Styela clava: one gene and its partner. The protein of the gene in region 2 binds, or shares a complex with, the protein of the main gene of each other region. Links are inferred from orthologs where the notes say so. Each region holds a gene or a part of one and is shown on either strand. Other genes may lie near its edges. The genes, in order: dynein regulatory complex subunit 4-like and dynein regulatory complex subunit 3-like.

Region 1 (9,833 bases), about 13 Mb from region 2:
GGAATCATAACCAAAGCTTCTTACCTTTAATGAATTGATGAGAGCCAGATTGTTGAGTGTGATGTCGTTGTAATAATTTTTGATATCGGAGAATGCTTTCTCGTGGTTTCGCATGAGTGCATTTATCTGGCCATTCTTTCGCTCTTCAATTTCATGAATTTCTGTCTTTCGTCGAAGTTCAAGTTCGTCCCGAAGTACACGCATCTTGCGCTCATATTTTGATTCAATTTCTGAATTTGTAAAGAAAGAAGACCATTGTTTCAATTGAATAGCTATTTTTCCAGCACTATTTACTTATAATTACGGAAAAAAAAGCTTTTTCACCTGTGTATTGTCACAATGTAAAATTATGGTTTGTGTGTTTCTAATTTAATGGTACAATGCGGCAACTACCATGTTTCCTAAAAATAAGTCATATTTCGATTTTCTTTCGAAAATTGACACTAGGGCTTATTTTTGGGTGATGTTTTTTTCAGTGGTAGAGAACAATAGGAAATAAGAAGCGCTTTTGTCACAACGCTGTTGAATTTTAAGCGCCGGTAGATAACACTAACACCTTGGGCGTCCAAGTAGGCCTACAGAACAGATAGCATTGATTACGTAACACCATGGTTCTCAAACTGGGCCCGGGCTACAAAACGAGAAATTCGGTATACAAAATTGGAAAACTGGTGTCAATTTACTTATAAATAACATGTTTCCATTTAAAAAAGACCGGGTTAGGTCTTATTTTCGGGGAAACACAGTATCAAGCCAAAAGTTGACACCGCATACCTCTTGCTTGTCTTTCGAAATCTTCTCTCAACTGAGTGATGTGTTCGTCTTGTTTCTAGGTTGAGGACGGGAAAAGAAATTGAGATATTTGGATACTATGAAAATATATAACATTCATAACAATACTAGAGGAGATCGGCTTAGAAAATTAAATTAAAACAGACTACCCAGGTACCTAGTACCCACAATCCTACAGTTGCAACACATTGCAAACTCCTATTAATTGACATATCGTTACACATCAAAGGTCAAAAACATAACTGATATCATGAAAATAGTATAAAAATAATGATGCATAGGGAAGTGAAAAATGTTGGGTAAAAAATGTTGCACAGCAATGTTTTTAAAAAGCAACTCAAAATTTACAGCTATTTGACAAAAGACCTATTTTTGATGGCAAAATCAATATAGCTTAGATCTGTACCTACACAGGGAATAATATTGCCAACCCCCCACCAAATTACTGTCCTTTGCTAGTGCGGTATTATTACTTGTGTTAGGTATTTCTAGGTAATTTACCTTTCATATATTCAAATTTGTCAATAAGTAATTAAAATTGAGCTTGTAATGAATCTGAGAAAAGTCCACAATCAAAATATATTTAAAATTACCATGTAAAATGAATAGTTTTCATTGAACAAAATAATGAAAAGTTAGTCTCATACCTTCACAAGATTCTTCACAGATTCCTCATGAGATAATTCCTGTTCTTTCAAATTGACCTTCAATGACCTTTTATCTTTTCTGAGGTCTGTCTCCTGTAACCTGTGATCTTCCTGCGATAACTTCAAAGCCACCGAACTCTCTGCTTTCAATTCTGAAATGTTGTTCTGATGCTCGTACAGAAGATGTTTGACTTTTTGCTTGTATACCTGGGATACACAAGATCAAATAAGACAACATAGATGGATTAGTCTGGTATTAAAATTTGGAGCAAAGCCCACACGACAATGACAAATGCATGAATAAAAACTAATTTAGAATTTTATAGACTTTTATGACAATAATATTTGCCATATCAGGAATCCCTAAAACTTATTTTATTAATGTTCAACCGTTTTATGATTTCAATAAAATATGCAGAGCCCATCATCTCTAAATTCCTTATATCTCTGTGGTCATATGTGTGTAGGACTTAATATTATAACTTTATGACAACATCTTTTTATTTGAATTTCGTTTTAAACCTGTTTTCACCTTGCCTAAGGTTTTGTTTGCTCTTCTGATTTTGTAACCAGTTTGTATATTTTTTTGTAACTATTTTTTGTCTGTTATGCTGATTATGTAGGTTAAAAACAAACTTTACATTTACTCTCAATTCGACTATTTTCACAAGTGGCTCAATTTTGCATGGCATATTACGGCAAAAAATACAACAGGCAGACATACAAATAGATGAAGGACTGGTTCACCATATAGATAGGTCGTCCTTTATAATGATGAATATAGAATTATATCCCAGTATATACAAATGAGACAAACTTTAATTTCAATTTGATGTCTTTCTTCTGAATCTTCCATTTCTCGATCTTTATTTCTCAATTCAGCTTTCTTCTCTTCCAATTGTCGCTTTGTGATTTCCCAGAATGTGTTGACCTGAAAGAAAATTTTTGAAAAATTTGATTAATTATTATAACCCTTACTTTATTATATACTTTGTTTTTAAGAAGAAAAATTTGCAACATTAATTACCAGTGTTGTGGAGTCACGAGTCACCATTTATCAAAAAATTCAATCGTCTAAAAAATGAAGTCAAGAAAATTTTATGATATCTATCACAATATCTTTTGTATTTCAGAGGTCGCCCATGAATTTGGTCCAAATTGAGTCTCATTTACATCTAAGTGATTTCACTTTTAATTTTAATTTTTCACATTTTCTTTTAAAATAAAGATTTAACACAAGGAAATCCATTGTTATTGACTCATAATTAGTAATTATTGCGCAATAACAATCAAAACAAACCTTATCTCTCTCAAGTTGAAAATAATTCCTTTCCTCTCTCTCTCTTTCCAATTCTTCACGAAGTCGACCAATGTGCTCCTCCAACTATTGAGAAGTGGATCGTGTGGATAAAAAGTGATGTTTTTATTAATAAATAAAAAATAAAAAAACTATTGAGAAGTATAAAATTTAAACAATGGGAAAGAACATTCAGCAAATATATACGGGTAGTTCAGTATCATGGATTAGTATATAGCATCTGCTTGTGTATAACTTTCAATTACTGCCTAACCGATTAGTTTTAAGTGATTCATGTCTCATACAGTCACTCAAAACAAAGCTTTGCAAATGCACCCACCCAAGTTTAAGAAGCCAATGGGCTTGGAAATTAAGGAACCATTTATTTTGATATCGCCATCGTAATTTCGCACATTCTGATGACTGGTCAGCCACGTCTTGTTGTTGAAGTGTTACGTGACATTTGAGGCAAATACGTAACAGAAAGTAAGCGACATAGAAGGGTAAAATGAATTCATTGATTGATACACACAGCATTTAAAATAAGAAACAATAGGACATTTATAGAACATTTAAAAAATGCAAACATATTTTAGTAATGTTTAACACAATTCCGTTAATTTTCGCGGCGAATTTAGCCACTCGCTGCACCTTTTGGGAACGGCTGATCTATGCCTATGAGGTTATAATACCCTAACAGCTAGCTCATGAGAAGCAAACAACACATGTCATAAGATCAATTACCAAAACTACTAGAAAGCCTATGTTAAATAAAGGTGCGACCCCCGGTTATACTGGGGTATTAATAATATCTGGCACTCCTCTTTAAAGTTTGCACACCCCTAGTTCATAGCGATACAACTATGTTTCAAAATTTAGATTTGAAACTGGTTTAAACATTACTTTATAGAACATACCTGCTCCTTTGACATTTCTTCAGTTGACATTCCATCTACGACGGTCGGGGTTTTGGGCTTTTTCGCAGATTTTTTGCCCTTTTTTCCCTTCTTCCCTTTTTTGGGAGGCTGCAAAAGCATGAAACAATTAGAAAATAGCCAACTACAGTACATAAATTTAATACTAGGCTTTATTCAATGATTTTATGGGTAGAGATTGCTTGATTTTTAATTCTAGTAATTTAATTTACTTTTCATTTCAAACTCCTTACTCCAGAAATTTTGGGTTGGACCATCACACTATGAAAAATCAAGAATGTGGCTTCATCTTTGACTTCAATGAGACAGAATAAGATAGGATAGGATTTACATATTTATCCCGGGGGAGAGGAAAGCCGATAATACAGCTTAACCATATGGCAAACCACGGCCTCTCGTCCGATTACCATTCCATGTCGGGTATGGGATTAGTTAGTTATTTGTTTTCGGAAGCATGGACTTGATGGTGGAGGAAGTCGTAACAGACCAGCGGTTACGTGAACCACCCTACAGCGGCGAGAGTCCAGCAATCCTCTCGCACATAGCCCTCCCCCCGCCTGGGATTCGCAGAGTAATTAGAGGTGCGGTGGCGAGCGTATTCCTAACGATTAGCACGATGAGCCACACCGCCACGCCGAAGATCCCGAAAAAAGAGGCATCAAGTAGTATTTTTATCTGGGGAGTATTTACAGATTTATTATTTTAAACAAATTCCAACCCTAGTCATTTAGACAAAAAAAGTAGAATTTCTAAGAAATGATAAGATTAAAACAGGGATAATTAAAAAACTCCCCCATTGTCCCGGTGCTAGAGCCGCCAAATCAATGGCTTCCTAAGCTCCAGAGTTGAAAATAGTCGGTTATTCATAACCAAGATTTTGAAATAAAGTTATATAACACTAAAACTTATATGACACTTACCATTATGAAGATTTGCCGTTCGAAATGCAACCAGACGGGAAAACTTGGAAGGCAACACCAAAAAAGTAAAGCAAGGCGAACAAGCACGGAAATCAAATTTTCTCTCGGTGTTACTATGGTAATTTTCGTATTTACGTGAGTGATATTTCACGCATGATATCTCTCAACAATGAACGAAAATGAGTTTTAAAAAATAAAATTACAAGGATTGGAATTAAATAGACATGTAATACATGTTATAAAAAATGTTTTACGTAATATAAGAGTGCAATCTAATACAAAAAAACTAATGTGAACAAACAAGTTCAAAAAAAAGGTCAGCGAGCCGTAAAATGTATATACAATTTCTGTGACTCGGAGCCGTGCGGGCGCGTGGCGCAATGGATAACGCGTCTGACTACGGATCAGAAGATTCCAGGTTCGAATCCTGGCGTGCTCGCTTTTTCATAAAATCAATTTGGGATCATTTCTTCCCTCATAATATAAAATAATTGTTAAATATTGTCTGAAAACAAAAATATCACTAAAAGACGAACCCTCGTTACGATATTCAATAAATTTATAAGTTAACTAACATAAATAAAAACAAATTAAAATATCTCACGACGGTCAATTTCTCATAAAATGCAATATATTGACTAAAAAAGCAAATATGATATGAAATGCAAGTTGAAAAATAACTACATGCGAAAGATTCAGATAAATTATTTTTATCATGCAAGAATCAATGCAAACACAACACAAAAGTGTATAACGTAACGCCGTACCCCCTTCTTATATTATTATATCTTTGGAAATGTTACGTGTAACCCATCAAATAAATAATCATTGTGATTAATCGAGGTAATAATCTATACACAGCCTTTGTTTTCTCATGACTCCCGAATGTCTTGTCATAATAGGAATTTCTCTTTTTTTAGGGGTCGGTGGCCATAGTTGACCTTGCAGTCTCGCCCGTCCCCTCCCGATTATATTCTATAATTGTTCTTTTCCATTTATTGTAATTTTACATTTTTTGATATATTCGGAAAATAAATCATTATCTATCATCTAACGGAATTGAAAACAAAATTGAAATATACACGTAAAAATAACGTCAGAAAAACAAGACTTTACAAAAGTTTGTGTGCGTCAAATACCTCCAACTGCCACCCATAGGTCAATTAGTTCGAGTTCAATATCTTGTTCAATAATAAAAGCATTTTTGCTTCGGTAACCGAATGCTTAAAACTTATTCAAAAATGGGACAGATAGAGAAAAGTGCGTCGACCGGGAGTCGAACCCGGAACTATTGCTTGGAAGGCAACAATGCTAACCGTTACACCATCGACGCGACGAGGTAGGTGAATCGAAATATTTTATATAAATAAGGAGAGAATTAAAAAAACGCCCGACATTCTCTCGATCGTAATATCGTTATTTGATTTAAGATGTATAAGTATATAAGTATAAGTATAAGTTTATTTCGACTCCATAATCAGCATAACAATACATTTGACAGATAAAACAAATAAATAAAATCTGATTATGAAATCAGGGGAGCAAACAAAACCTTAGATAAGGTTTATAACGTACAAAATATAAGATGAAAGGTTTTGCCAAGAGGAAGTGGTACGTGTTTACTCACCTAAAATTATCAAGTTATTTCACACACGCTCACATGCACCCACCAGCCACACACACACACAACCACTGAGAAGTTATTTAAGTAAGAATGAAACGCGATAAATTTAGGGTATACTATACAGTAAGCAAAAAAATAAATAAATAAATACTAGAAAAGAAAATTATCTGCCACACCATATTGATATTTTTGTAATGGTTGCCATTGCCAAATTGATCGATCTTCTAATCGTTAATTAGGTATATAAAAGGAAGATTCTATTGAAAACATATTGCCAAGCTGATTATAGTTGGAGTCAAATGCCAAGTTGCCCAACCAAAGTTGCCAGAATTGGGTGCATGAAGAGGTGGGCGAGACCATTTCATTCCCCAAATTAGAGCCTATTATTGCCAAATTATAGTCCAGATTGTAATAAGTAATTAAGTTACCGGTAACAGTAAAATTACTATAATTAAGTAAAGTAGGATGTGGAAATAAATTGGTTACAAAGGGTGTAAGTGAGGTTTTTCATTCTTGGGTATTGATTTCAGACAAGGATATGGGAATGAGGTTGTTATTTCACAGGATATCGGGAGTCTTTTTTGTTTTTTTCCTTATGTGTTTTACTTCATTTAATCACTTTGAAGTAACCTGAAAAACAAAAAATAAAACTGCGAGTAGATGTTTCAATGATTGGGTGAAGGGGAACGCTCTGAACTATTTATTACAGGCAAAAAATAATTGTTTAATTAAATGGGATGTATTGTCATTATATAGCGATGGATAGATGATCTATGATGACATTCTGCTTGGGACAGAGAAAAATTTATCACACCATGCAAAAAACACACAAAATTTTACTATCTATACCTTGGCCAACAAGTCAACTCAAACACCATGCCTTAACATAAAACGCATGCATACATAAATGATATAAAAACCACATCCAATTACAATGACCCACAGCAAATTAAAATCTGAAGGGGAGAATCCAACATAGCTCTACTGCTCGCCTAGTTGCAATAATTAGTAACCTTGCAGGAACAATATTGTACTATCTACAACCCTTATACCACCACTCAAACATAAGACCAAGCGTGTATGATAGGGACATCACAGCTAGAAAAAGATAAAAACACGAGCGTGAAGTGATAGAATGCGTGCAGTTATTTAAAGAAAATATCATCTGAGTACGTTAGCTACCTGTATATTTAAAAAAATATATATATACTCATGCATGTCACAATACCATTTCTTTGGTGCTGGACTAGTTCTGGCCAAGTCGTGGCAAGATATTATTATAGTCGTGGCACAGTATTATTATAGCTGTTCAACATTTTCATTAAAACAATAATGTGCAAGTGTGGAGTGTCCCAAGTTTTTGTCATCGAATACCACCAGTAGTAATTTTTAATATTTAATATTTGGAAACTAAATGAGACTTGACTTGTTTTTGAAAAGATTTTTTGGACTTTAACGTCTTCAAATTTAAGGGAAGAGAATTCCAAAGTTTGGGTCCAGTAAAAGACAAGGAATGCTGACTCACGGATTTACTCATGAAAGGTACGAATAAATCAGAACTACTTCTTCGGTTGGAGGTATTTTTGACAAGTATGTCATTAAAGCAATTGGGCAGCGCATTATTATGAAGTCGTGAGCTAGAGATAATATTTCAAATTTCATCATATCTTCAACCTTAAGTATATTTAGTGATTTGAAGTAAGAGTCTACACTTTCACGTTTTCTTTTACCAAAAACTATTCTTAAAAAATTATTACAAATACTCTGCAGTTTTGAGACAAGTGTTTTATTACCATGAAGCCAGACTGAACAACAATATCGAATATGGCTAAGTAGTAATGATTGAAACATTGCTAGTAGAGCTGATTGGTCAACACACTGGGATACTTTGGCAGAAACTGCTAGGTTTCTTTTTGTTTTAGCAATAACATGCATTATTTGTGATTTCCATGACAGATTTTCATCAAAGATAACTCCTAGAAATTTTATTTCTTTCACTCTTTCAATTTCATTGCCATTGAGCAGTAGTTTTTTTGAACAACTCACACTTTTATGCTTGCTTGGATGGAATAATACAAATTTAGTTTTGTTAGCATTCAGAGATAATTTATTAACTAACATCCAGCTATGAATGTTGGTTAGTTCTTGGTTTGCAACTGTGAATAGATCTTCAAGGTTTTCCCCATGAAGAATCAAGTTAGTGTCATCAGCAAACATGATCGACTCAGAGGATTTCAGACACCATGGCCATGTTTGACTACAAAGGTTAGAATTCCTCTCGCATCAATCCGCGGAATGATAAGACGGCTATAAGATAACGGAATAGTTTTTAGTTTTAAGGACTTGGAGTAAACCTCCATGCGATCACGGACAATTTTTGGGCGAAAATGAATAAAACGTCTTACCGACTTCTATTATTATATTTCTTTCATATTGTATTTAGTCTAGTCTACGATGACTAGGAGCCCAGCATAACCCTCTCTTCCAAGAAATCCGGGAAAGAGTATTTACGATAAGACAGTAACAACCCAGATAGCATGTGAATAACCGCAAAGCGATTAGGCTTACAACTTTGCGTCTCAAAAAAGGTCTTTCGTCAAAAATGTATTTTTTGGCAAACCTAGCTCTGAACTTTAGAGTGTGACATCTAGATTTTCTCAAAATAACTAAATTTTCTTGTCATTAGTATTATTTACTGGAAACTACTTTTATACGTCGTTTTATTACCTTCTTTCTGAACGAGGCCGTAACATAGTATGCAATATTTAGAAAGTTGCTATATTTTGGAACCTAACAGAATTGCCCACATAATTCATTGCACTCAAAACGAGGTCGTGGGAACTGGAGTCACATAAAACGCTTTGAGCCATTGATTGAAGAAACCGGGACAGGACTGCACTGATTGATGACCATTTGACAGATAATTACAAAAATACCAGCTTTTCTCTACAAAGTCAGTTTTCTGGATCAAACAATAATAAAAATTCAGATGTAGAGGCTGCAGCAACAGATTGTAATTTACATTCACAATATTTTGTAAGAACCATGTTTCACAGAAACAAGATTTGTAGCTTATGGAAATCATTACTTTAGCAAATATCAGGCACCCCATGTTCAGTCAGTGAACAAGAAGCATTGTACAACTTAAAAAACAGGTGATAGACATAATAAAATAGAGCAAATTCCAAACTTCAACTATAACACAACCAGCTTCACAGTTCAGCCAATCATGAATATTTTCTCCGGGACCTAAAAATTAATCAATTGTTTAAAATAGATAATTCTTTCTGTTATCATTCATTTAATATTCTAATAGTTATTTAAAACAGAATCGTTGTTTTATTCATTTTATCGTTCAAATCGTTCGTTTCTATGTAACAGAATCAAATATTATTAATAAAATGATAGGACACCCATTTAAAGTTCATTAGTCTCACCCTAAAATGAGATAACACCCTGCTTAATATACAAGGGAGGTTTTGTTCACTGTTGGGAATTCTCAATCTTATTATATCTCATAAACTATATGTCTAGGTTCTATGCAAGTTTACCGAAGGCCATAAACAACAATGGACTCTGGCGAACATGTTACAGAAAATAGGCTGCATTTAGTTTCAA
Region 2 (10,137 bases):
CTGACACTATTGTGGCCCACGAACAATACAAAAATAATTTTGTGGCCCGCGAAGTCGACAACCTTGGACCACCCTGCTCTATACCAAGTAGTGTCTACCTTTATTGTTGTGTAACAGATACGCAACAATAGATGCAAGACAGATACAATGTGACAAAAAGTAAACGACGTAGAAAGAATATTGATTCATATACACAGCATTTAGAATAAGAACCAATAAAACATTTATAATGAATACAATAAGTAAAATATTCAATCATATATAAGTTATGTTTTAACACAATTTTGTTAGTTTTCGAAGTGTACTTGGCAACTCAGTGTGGAGCACTAGTCAGAACCCTTCAGGAACAGCTGCCCTATATCACTTCCACATTCGTATAAATGAACAATACTCCCTGCTTCCTGATTTCATCTCACCTTTTCATTTTGTAATTCTTGTTCTTCTTCTTTTTTCCTTTCTAGTTCTTTTTCTTTCTGTTTTTCATTATGCATCAATTCTCCGAGCTTGTTTTCATAGAGATTGTGAGCTTTGTTCCTCTGTACATACAGTAAAATTTATATGAAATATGAAAGCACAGCTAATTTAATACCAAAATAAGTAAAAGTAAAGATGAAAAACTGTAAAATATGAACTGAAATTGTATGTAATGAAAAATTAATACATGAAATGAGTGACATTTTTGCTCTGAACAAGGTCATAGAAAAGTAGTTACAGACCTGGCTGGGCAGTAAGCGTTAGGAATACGCTCGCCCTGTACCTCCTATTACCCTGTGTTCGCAGGTTCGAATCCCATGCGGAGATATACCCCACATGGACTGGTAACTGGACAAGAGTTCGTGGTTTGCTGATTTCCTCTCCCCCGGAATAAATAGGTATGGTATGTAAATCCCAATCTATCTTTGTCGCACTGGATGAATGATGAGTATAGCATAGGGCTTAAAATTGAGCTATAGAACATATGACTTAATCATACTTAATAACAATGCACTAACAGAAATTGCATCTCATATAACCAACAACTTAAAAAATTCATAAAAAGTTAACTACAGTTAATTTCATTTTCACTGCAGATGAAACTAAATCACATACGCTTACCGTGTCTTCATCAATTAATCTGAAGTCCAAATACACGAGATGTGAGAGATAAGCGACAGTAAATAACCTATATCCTGGATCATCACATACGGGACAACCAGATAAATTCAATGTCCGTAAATTAGTGAAACGACGCAAGTAGATGAGCTGAAATAACATAATTCATAAAGGCTATACTTCAATATAATGTTGAGGAGACTCAAGCAGAGTCAATGACTAATGCACTGTTGTTCATGGAATACACTACAAATCGGGACAATAGCAATTTGACTGAATTTGTGACTTGACGTACAGTGACTTTAAATGGAACTCGAAGTTTAAATTTTGATGGACTTCGGATGACTCGGACCCTCAATTCAATCATTTTTGATTAAATATTGGGAAGTATTTGTTATAACTGATGTAGAAAATGCACAATCAGGGTTCCTCAAACTGGGCCCCCGCTTCATGTTAAAGTCAGAACTAGAAGAGCACGAGGTCACCGAAGGTCTTTGGAAGGATGCCACAAATCATAAACATTTGAAAAACACTGATTTAAATATTAGTTCCTTTCTAAAAGAAATACCAAATGAGCAAAAAAAATGAAAATTGCTCATTGAATCAACTTGAGTCTGATTACTGTATAATTCAAGGCGATTCACATGAATACTTCTTACATTGTCAAGCTGATTAAGCTTGTTATTTCCCACAGAAAGTACATGTAGATTTTTGAGGGAATCCATGTTTTCTAGTCGAGATATTCTGTTGCTGTACAAAGTCAGATCTTCTAACTTGGTCAATTTTGATAAACCTTCTAGCACTTCTATGTTGTTGAAAGACAAATCTGTAATTCATTGTATTTGAAATCAATATACAGTAATTAAAATTATATTTGAATACAAAAATAGGTTTACCAATTTATGATTGAAGCTTCTACTTCATGGTGAATTTAACTTTTTCAACTGTTATGTCAAAAAATTCCTTTCATTGTAAAATTTTTCTGACCTAAAGTCCTCCCCCCCTTCAAGATAATAAATGAATAAATAATAAAAAAGCAACGTAACTTGAGTTACATATGTCATTAAAACAATGATGGCAGGGAACACTAGAAAGAAGGATAGAAATAACATCTTATGATAAAATAAAGAGAGTATCATACCTAGCCATACTAAATTGACCAATTGATCTAATCCTTCAATTTTCTCAATAATATTGTCATCCAATTGTAATTTTGTCAGCTTTGTGAATTGCCAAAGATTATCAATCTTCAATATATCTGTAAATAAGTAAAAATAAAATGATGATACAAATTAAACAGAGCAGATAACTTATCCATTGCATTTATCACAAATGGGCATCAGTAATAAAGTTTTCTAATATTTGACCAAACTATCAAGAGCCATATTATTTAAGCTTTTATGGATTTAGCAAATGAGAAAAATAACTGCAAGATCTATGGAAAGATTGTAAATGAAAACTTGAGAGATAATTTAGACTGAAATTGACAGGTCAGAATATGAGTAGAAGGCTTCTACTTCATAAAATTATATTTACTAACACGTGTCAATCCTAACCCCTACCTGACAACACCATCCAAAAATGACGTCACTACGGCGTCACAGTGACGTAATAGAGCCCTTCAAACTATACGAACTGTCACCCAAGACGCGCAGAAGAGAACCCGAAATCGGACAGCTATTTCCCTCGTTTTTTCGCCGCAGCGATCCTGATAGGAGAGAGATCGCTGACGTTAGTCAGTTCTTCATCGTCGGCACCGATGCCATTTCGGGCGATCGGATGTGTGTTTGGCAAGCTCTATGACGTGATTGTGACGTCGTAGTGACGTAATTTTTGGATAGCGAAGTCAGGTGGGGGTTAGGACTGACTTGTAAAAAAATTGTTATGCTACGCCTAGTAGAAGTACAATGGGTACGAAACTACAGGAGACCCCTTTTTTCGAGTTCGGTAACACAACAGAGTGGAGCATGAAAATAGTTGACTCGTACAAACTTGTTAATTGTTTAATATGCACGACTTCCTAACTTCAAGTTTGAAATTTCATTATAATCACCACAAAATATGAATATTGTCCATTTAGCATAATATGTAAGATGTAATTTTTCCTGTTCCCTTCACTTAATAACTTCTATATGGTTGTGTGTGTGGGTGCGTGTGAGCGTGTGTGAAATATTTCAATTATTTTAGGTGAGTGAACACGTACCACATCTTCTTGGCAAAACCTTCCATCTTATATACATTCTGTACGTTTTAAACCTTATCTAGGGTTTTGTTCGCTCTCCTGATTTCATAATCAGTTTTTATTTATTTATTTTTAGCATTCATTTTATTGTTTTGCTGATTATGGAGTCGAAATAAACTTATACTTATTATACTTATAATATACCTAAAGTAAAAATAAAAACTAGCTAGCTAAGTTTTCAAAAAAAATTGTCTGTCATTGTATTTACAGGTTTATTTACCCTTTTTGTGATATATTTCGCCATAACGTTTTTACCACTTACTTCTAAAATCTAGTCTTAATGACAACACGTCTTTGTAATCAATTCCTTCTTGTTTTGCAATTCGACCAGCTTCTTCCTTCGGGCCTTGCTCTTCTACAGCTTTTCTGAGCATTTCATCGTCGATTACCGCAGGTTCAACGGTGTCATAAAGGCGACTCATTTTTGAATCAAATATATTCAAGGAAGGGAGATATGCAGAGGAAACAGAAAATGGAAAATCACGGCGCTAGCCGCTCACTACGAGCACCAAAAAAATAAGTGTTATTTGTTTAGTCTTTGGCAAGCACTTCGCGCTTCTGCGTTGCTATGGATTCGGGCTGTACTTTGCAAACGAAAGGATCCAAATTGTTGGTATAAATGTATTCACATAGATATAAAATACTTTGGATTGAATTTTTTTATGATATTTAAGCAAAAAAGGGATTCAGTATAAAATATCGTGAACAGATTGCCAATTTTTTCGCACCATTGGTTTTTATAATAACCATAGCAACCAGTCAAACGAAGCACTATCATCCAGGCATGACTAGTTGAAAAGGTTGATCGCGATTAGGAATGTAAGCATAGAATAGGTGTTCTATTTTCGAAACAAATTCTGTTTAGTGGTCTGTAGCATCGTGTTTTTGTTGAATTTAATTGCATTCGAACTATAGATAGGTTATTTTATGACTAGATAGCAGGAAATATGACTAGCAGGAAGACTTACCGGTACCGTAACACGGGTCGTCAGGTAAAAGTGAATGCGTCGAAATCGAACGCCTATTTTATTGTAGTCGAGACAAATACTGAAATATGCAGCTATGTAAGCTTTTTTTAAACAATAGCGGGTATAGGATTTTCATTTGATACTGACCGTCAGAGAATTCTCACAAATGTCGCTACTGATATATACAAAATGTGTTATTGTAGTGATTTTCTATAATTCTAAAAGTAGTGAGGTCTGAATGTCTTCCAGTGAGTCATGCCTAAATAGATATAATAGCAGTATCTTGGTCATTTAAAGACATCTTACTTAATTTAATGAGTTTTTGAGTAGTAGAGTAGATGTAGGGTGGTGTAGCCAGTCTGCGGACGATTTCATTCAAACCCCTATAAAACAAAAACCAATATTTCTAACCTGTTAATTTTTTCACCGTAGGTGCATTGGCATTCATTCTACACGCTGAACTTCGAATTAACTTTCTACGACCAGGGGTTAAAGCTATACAAACCACCAAAGTACGACACTCTGAAGACGTATTTGCGACCGAACGACCAGTGTGCGACCACGGATTTCAATCCTTGAACATCGTTTCTGCTGCGTCGAGACTAGATAATACGCAGCCATGCGTGAAAAAATGGGCTTCTAATTGCATTTCTGACCGTCATATATTTTAAGAATACGATTATTTCGAACAAAATTTTTCAAATTATAAACAAACACCGCATCACAGCAATCAAACAGACAAAAACACGGTGGTCGCAAATTAGTTGACAAAGATATTATTGACGTATTGGAAATGCGCACCCCCCTACTCCCCCTCCTTTGAAGGTAGAGACGCGAAACTTTAAAGATGGTTAAAAGAAACACAACTCTACCCACCTTCCAAGTTTCATCTTTTTATCTCTTATATTTGTATGGATTTTCAACCTTTTTTGAAGGAACAATGGGTAGTTGGCGACATGGTAAAATGGTCCGTTTTTTTTCTTCGGTCAGGTTTTCGGTCGTAACTTTTTCATTTATGGCCGCATTTTAGTGTAATTTCGTAGAGCTACGAGGGATAAGTGGACGATAACGCGTGAGAAATATCGGCGCGGTTCGTTAATTTTTTCGGCATTAATTTAATCGATGAAGTTGATGGTCGCAGATAGGTCATGGCCGCAAAGTGGGTAAGCCACCCTAAATGTAAGAATTTAAGAAAACTGAAGGAGACATGTTATTTGATGTTGTGACAACTAGACTTACTTCATCATGACATTGTCTCATTGCCCAATAATTTATTTAATAAAATTGAGCCATATTTTGGAGAATTGCTTCTTACCGATTTGAATTGGATTAAATTGAGTCACTTAGAAATTCAGAAACTCTTGATTGTGATGCACTGAGTGTTTGAAATGGCAGTGACTTTTTGTATAAACAAGGCAAACTAAAATATTCAGGTAACTGAATAAACTTCGGATTAATTTACTGGGTTTAACCCGGTATAAAAGTATCAAATCAATTCTTATAGCTATAGACATTCTCTGAATGACAGAGTAATTCTGATTCTGTGTTTTCTAATTATCACTAAGTAATATATCTTATTTTATGTCTATTTATAGTGTTAAATAGTTTTTGTGATTCATATCATACCACAAATATGTTACATGTTGACGATGGGGACGAAGAAAGTGGGCCTTCGGTTGAATCTGTAAATCCAGAAGAAAGAATCCTTGCTAGGAGGATCCGAATCCAACATAGAATCGAGCAGCTCAAAAGAGAAGCTCTGGGTGACGATGCTCTCATGAAAAAAGAAGTCAAAGAAGAACAAGGAAAGGGAAAAGAACAGATTGAAGAAAGTCGAAAACGCCTGAAAAAACTCCTTGGAGATGGTAATGAACTTGTAACAAATGTACGAGTTGCCGGTGATGCTCGTGAGTCTGGTCATCGAATTGTTGAAGAAGAAGCTAAACGAGCAAGGGTTGAAAAACTTGAAGCAGAAGCAAAGGCATCTGCTGAAAAATTCGATGAAATCAGTAAACGATGGTCAGCAGCTCGCATGAAGGAGATCCCTCAGGATTTACATGATATGTTGAAAGAGCAAACAACAGGTTGTGACGCTGTGATCGATGAAAAAAATAAATTGATAAATATTTTACAACAAGAGTTAAAACAAAAAGATGATGAATATGTCAAAGATTTGAAGAAGCAATCAGAAGATGTTGATCTCATTATTGAAAGAATGGAAGAACAAATTAAAAATCTAACAAAATCACACAGAGAAGAGCTGAGACAAATTGAAGATGCTTACACAGATGGTCGCAGTGATATGAACAAAGCTGATCGACGGAAATGGGATTCAATGATGCAGCAGAGACGAGATAAAGAAGAAGATCACATGAAACTGAGAGAAAAAAGAGTTGAGGAACATGAGCGCCAATTGGATCAACTTCGCACCCAGGATGCTGAAGAATATAACATGGTGAAGATTAAATTAGAAACTGATGTACAAATTCTGGAGCAACAATTGCAACAAATGAAAGCTACATATCAGTTAAATCAAGAAAAATTAGAATACAATTTTCAAGTCTTAAAAAAACGTGATGAGGAAAATACCATCACTAAGTCACAGCAGAAAAGAAAAATTACCAGACTTCAAGATGTCTTGAATAACCTTAGAATCAAGCTAGGAAAGCAGGAACGTTCATACAAAGATGAGAATCAATCACTCGTTGATGACTACAAAAGAATAGCAGAGCAATACAAGGAATTACATAAAAAGATGAAGCACTTCTCAGCAACTGATAACAAAAAATTTCATGATATCTGGTGTATGAATGAAGAAGAAGTACGAAAACTTGTTGATAAAGTTTTGAATACAGACTGCATCATACATCAGCAACAGCTTGGCTTGCCGTGGTCTGCTCCTGATACCGCATTCATGGATTCCCGTGGTCCATTGCTGGCAGCTACAGAAGGAAAGGAAAAATCTGCTTTGATGATGGCCAAAGAAGTTTTGGCATCAGTGGCAAAACCAAAACAGGATGATAGTTTGCCTTTGACATTTGATGATGAAAAGTCTCATTCAAGTACAAAAGTTTCTTTGAGTGCTGTTAAGAAAGTCTTGGAACTATTATGTGATGAGGCTGGATTTCTTGTCGAGGAAAAGTTGAACAAGCTGTTACGTCCCCTTCAAAATGAAGAAAGGTCATTGATCAAGCTGGATGCAATATTTAAAGCTTTAAATATCGAATCAGAGGATGACATCCATAAATTGGCAGCCTTTTTTGCTCAACACAAAGAAAAACTCAGTGACGAAGTGAGTGAATCATCTCTTGATCATGAAGTGTCATCTACTATGGACGGGAAAGAAAATATGCATCCAAATGAAGTTTTAAAGGTTTTGAAACAATTTGTTCAAGAACATATCAAACCTACAGAAAGAAGAAAATCGAAAGGTACAAACAAACTGACTGCACCAGGACGTGATGGCTCGCAAGACGAACAATTTTGGAAGTCAATGGCAAACATCATTCCAGAGCACAAACTGAAGATGTGGGATGCACTGACACAAGCGTTTGACAAGTATCACAAAGTACTCACAGAGAGAGATGTTAAAATAAAAGAAACAGACAGCCTTAGGCAACAGAATGCAGAACTGAGAATGCTACTCCACCAATACATCACTTCCGAAGTCAACAGAGAGCTCGAGATTCCACCAACTCGTGTCCTTCAACTTGAATACAGCTAAAAAACATGTGCTTCTCCTAATATTTTGCTCTTCTTTAACAATATTATTTTGGTTTTGTAGTCACTGTCGATTGTTTTTTCTATATATATATTGTTATCATCAAAACAATTATAAAAATTACCTTCAACAATGCGATGTTCAAATGCAATTCTTTATACCAATGATTTAGTAGTGAATCTTTACTTTAGTAGCTTTATTAACTATTTACCTAACAAAGGAACTACGCCTGAAACACAACCGGGCATAGATTCATTGTGAGGTGAAACTACACCGTAGACGTGTTTCAGCGCATTAGTCATTATATTTTAGTGGTATGTTAGTTGTTGGCTGATACCGATATTAAACGCAGTGGGTACAGCTTGTCCTCAATAAATTTTGAATGTAACACAAAGAATAACTCACGCAGGAGTGAGAGTTTTGAGGGCCGCCTGTTTTTATAATTATTGTTTGTATTCCTTCTGCTATGCTCATCTTATCTACCAAGATTTCATGTTATATTTTGATGTGTAAATTGAGAAAACCACATATGTAATTTATTTTAAAAGTTTGCGTTAGGGAGCGCGAAATACTTAATTAAGAAACATACGTATGGTAGGAAGTAATGTACTGATACAATAGAGATTTGTAAATAATTAGCTTTGAATGTCTTTCTAGACAACTTTTTGTATTTCAAGATTTGATTTTTCAGATAACCTCAGTTCATCGAAGCTGTCGTTCAAACTGTTTCTGATCTAGCAAGCTAATGTTTTGCCAGATAATCATAACTAAAACCAAGGTATTATTATCCGTGCACCTTAATAGTTTTTAATTTTCAACGTTTCGATCGGTATTCAATTGAGTGTTCTTTCGGTGCATTTTGCTTTGTTGGTGACAAAAAATCGTGTCGGTTAGAATGAGTGAATGCCAAAAAGAATGCTTCGGCATGCTGGGTAGGCATCGTCAAGTCATGACACCCACTCTTTGTGATTGCTTCAAATATTGCAGTGAGCGTTTTATCCGTGCATTTTTCTTTGCTGGTGACAAAAAATCGCTGCAAGCATCGGTTAGAATGAATGAATGTCAAAAAACATACTTCGGCATGATGATCGGACATCGGCAAGTCATGACACCCACTCTTTGTGATTGCTGCAAAAATTCCAGGAGAAAGAATTACCAATTGGCTCGACGGTGTGGCGCATCGTGCTAAGCGTTAGGAATACGCTCGCCACCGCATCTTTGGTTAACCTTCGTGGTATCGCAGGTTCGAATCCCATGCGGGGATGATCATGTGCGAGAGGATTGCTGGACTCCTCGCCGCCGTAGGGTGGTTCACGTAACCGCTGGTCGGTTACGGCTTCCCCCACCATCAAGTCCATGCTTCCGAAAAAACAAATACCTGGCTAACTAATCCCATACCCGACCTGGACTGGTAACCGGGCGAGAGGCCGTGGTTCGCCATATCATTAAGCCGTCTTATCGGATTTCCTCTCCTTCGGGATAAATATGTAAATCCTATCCTAATAATAATTATCTGATTTCATTTACCTGTCATATTGATAAACATATTTTAAAAAAATACAGATGTGGATTGTGGACCAAGGTCCACGAAGTTTGCCATGAACTTTAAGTTAATTTTTTTGTTCAACCAGCGAACGTCGAACTGAAAAAGCGCTCTTGAAACAATGTAACACACCACAACTTTCTGAAGACGATAAGTCAACCACCCCAGTCACATCAGATTATTGATGTTTACTTGACGTCAAATATACCTCACATTCCCATGCAGCAAAATTTCAATAGTTGGATAGATACCTGGGTTTACGAAATTCAATACAGAAATATGAAGTTTAGGCTCTAAACTCAATCAGATGACTTTTCCAGATTCATTTTTACTACTATTTGGTGTTAAATGTATTCCAAATAACTAGCGTCTTTTTATTGAGATCTCTAGCCGGAGTCTAAAAGGAGTATTTTTCCGCAATTAAAGTAAATATTTCTCTCTATCCCGGCAGCTCACCCGGTACATCTTCGAGTTAAATTGTGAAACTAACTAATATTATCCGATCGCTTCAAACGGCCAGTAATTGAAAATTTCAAGCAATAGAATTTCCAATCGGTCTGCAAGGGGGCTT

What was found.
Region 1: dynein regulatory complex subunit 3-like (region 2) and dynein regulatory complex subunit 4-like share a complex: the UniProt entries of both Homo sapiens proteins name them as parts of the nexin-dynein regulatory complex. The link is inferred for Styela clava from reciprocal best matches to the Homo sapiens genes DRC3 and DRC4.

The regions. Positions count from the first base shown.
Region 1 is NC_135262.1:4,091,775-4,101,607, forward strand, and holds the start of dynein regulatory complex subunit 4-like, read right to left. Parts: upstream 4,749-9,833; 5' UTR 4,595-4,748; coding exon 4,592-4,594; intron 3,762-4,591; coding exon 3,654-3,761; intron 2,824-3,653; coding exon 2,740-2,823; intron 2,371-2,739; coding exon 2,257-2,370; intron 1,647-2,256; coding exon 1,440-1,646; intron 830-1,439; coding exon 775-829; intron 231-774; coding exon 25-230; intron 1-24. UniProt on the Homo sapiens protein: Component of the nexin-dynein regulatory complex (N-DRC), a key regulator of ciliary/flagellar motility which maintains the alignment and integrity of the distal axoneme and regulates microtubule sliding in motile axonemes.
Region 2 is NC_135262.1:17,138,294-17,148,430, forward strand, and holds the start of dynein regulatory complex subunit 3-like, read right to left. Parts: upstream 3,934-10,137; 5' UTR 3,757-3,933; coding exon 3,597-3,756; intron 2,351-3,596; coding exon 2,234-2,350; intron 1,919-2,233; coding exon 1,752-1,918; intron 1,243-1,751; coding exon 1,096-1,242; intron 537-1,095; coding exon 417-536; intron 1-416. Other genes in the region: dynein regulatory complex protein 1-like, read left to right, coding at 5,936-8,026. UniProt on the Homo sapiens protein: Component of the nexin-dynein regulatory complex (N-DRC) a key regulator of ciliary/flagellar motility which maintains the alignment and integrity of the distal axoneme and regulates microtubule sliding in motile axonemes.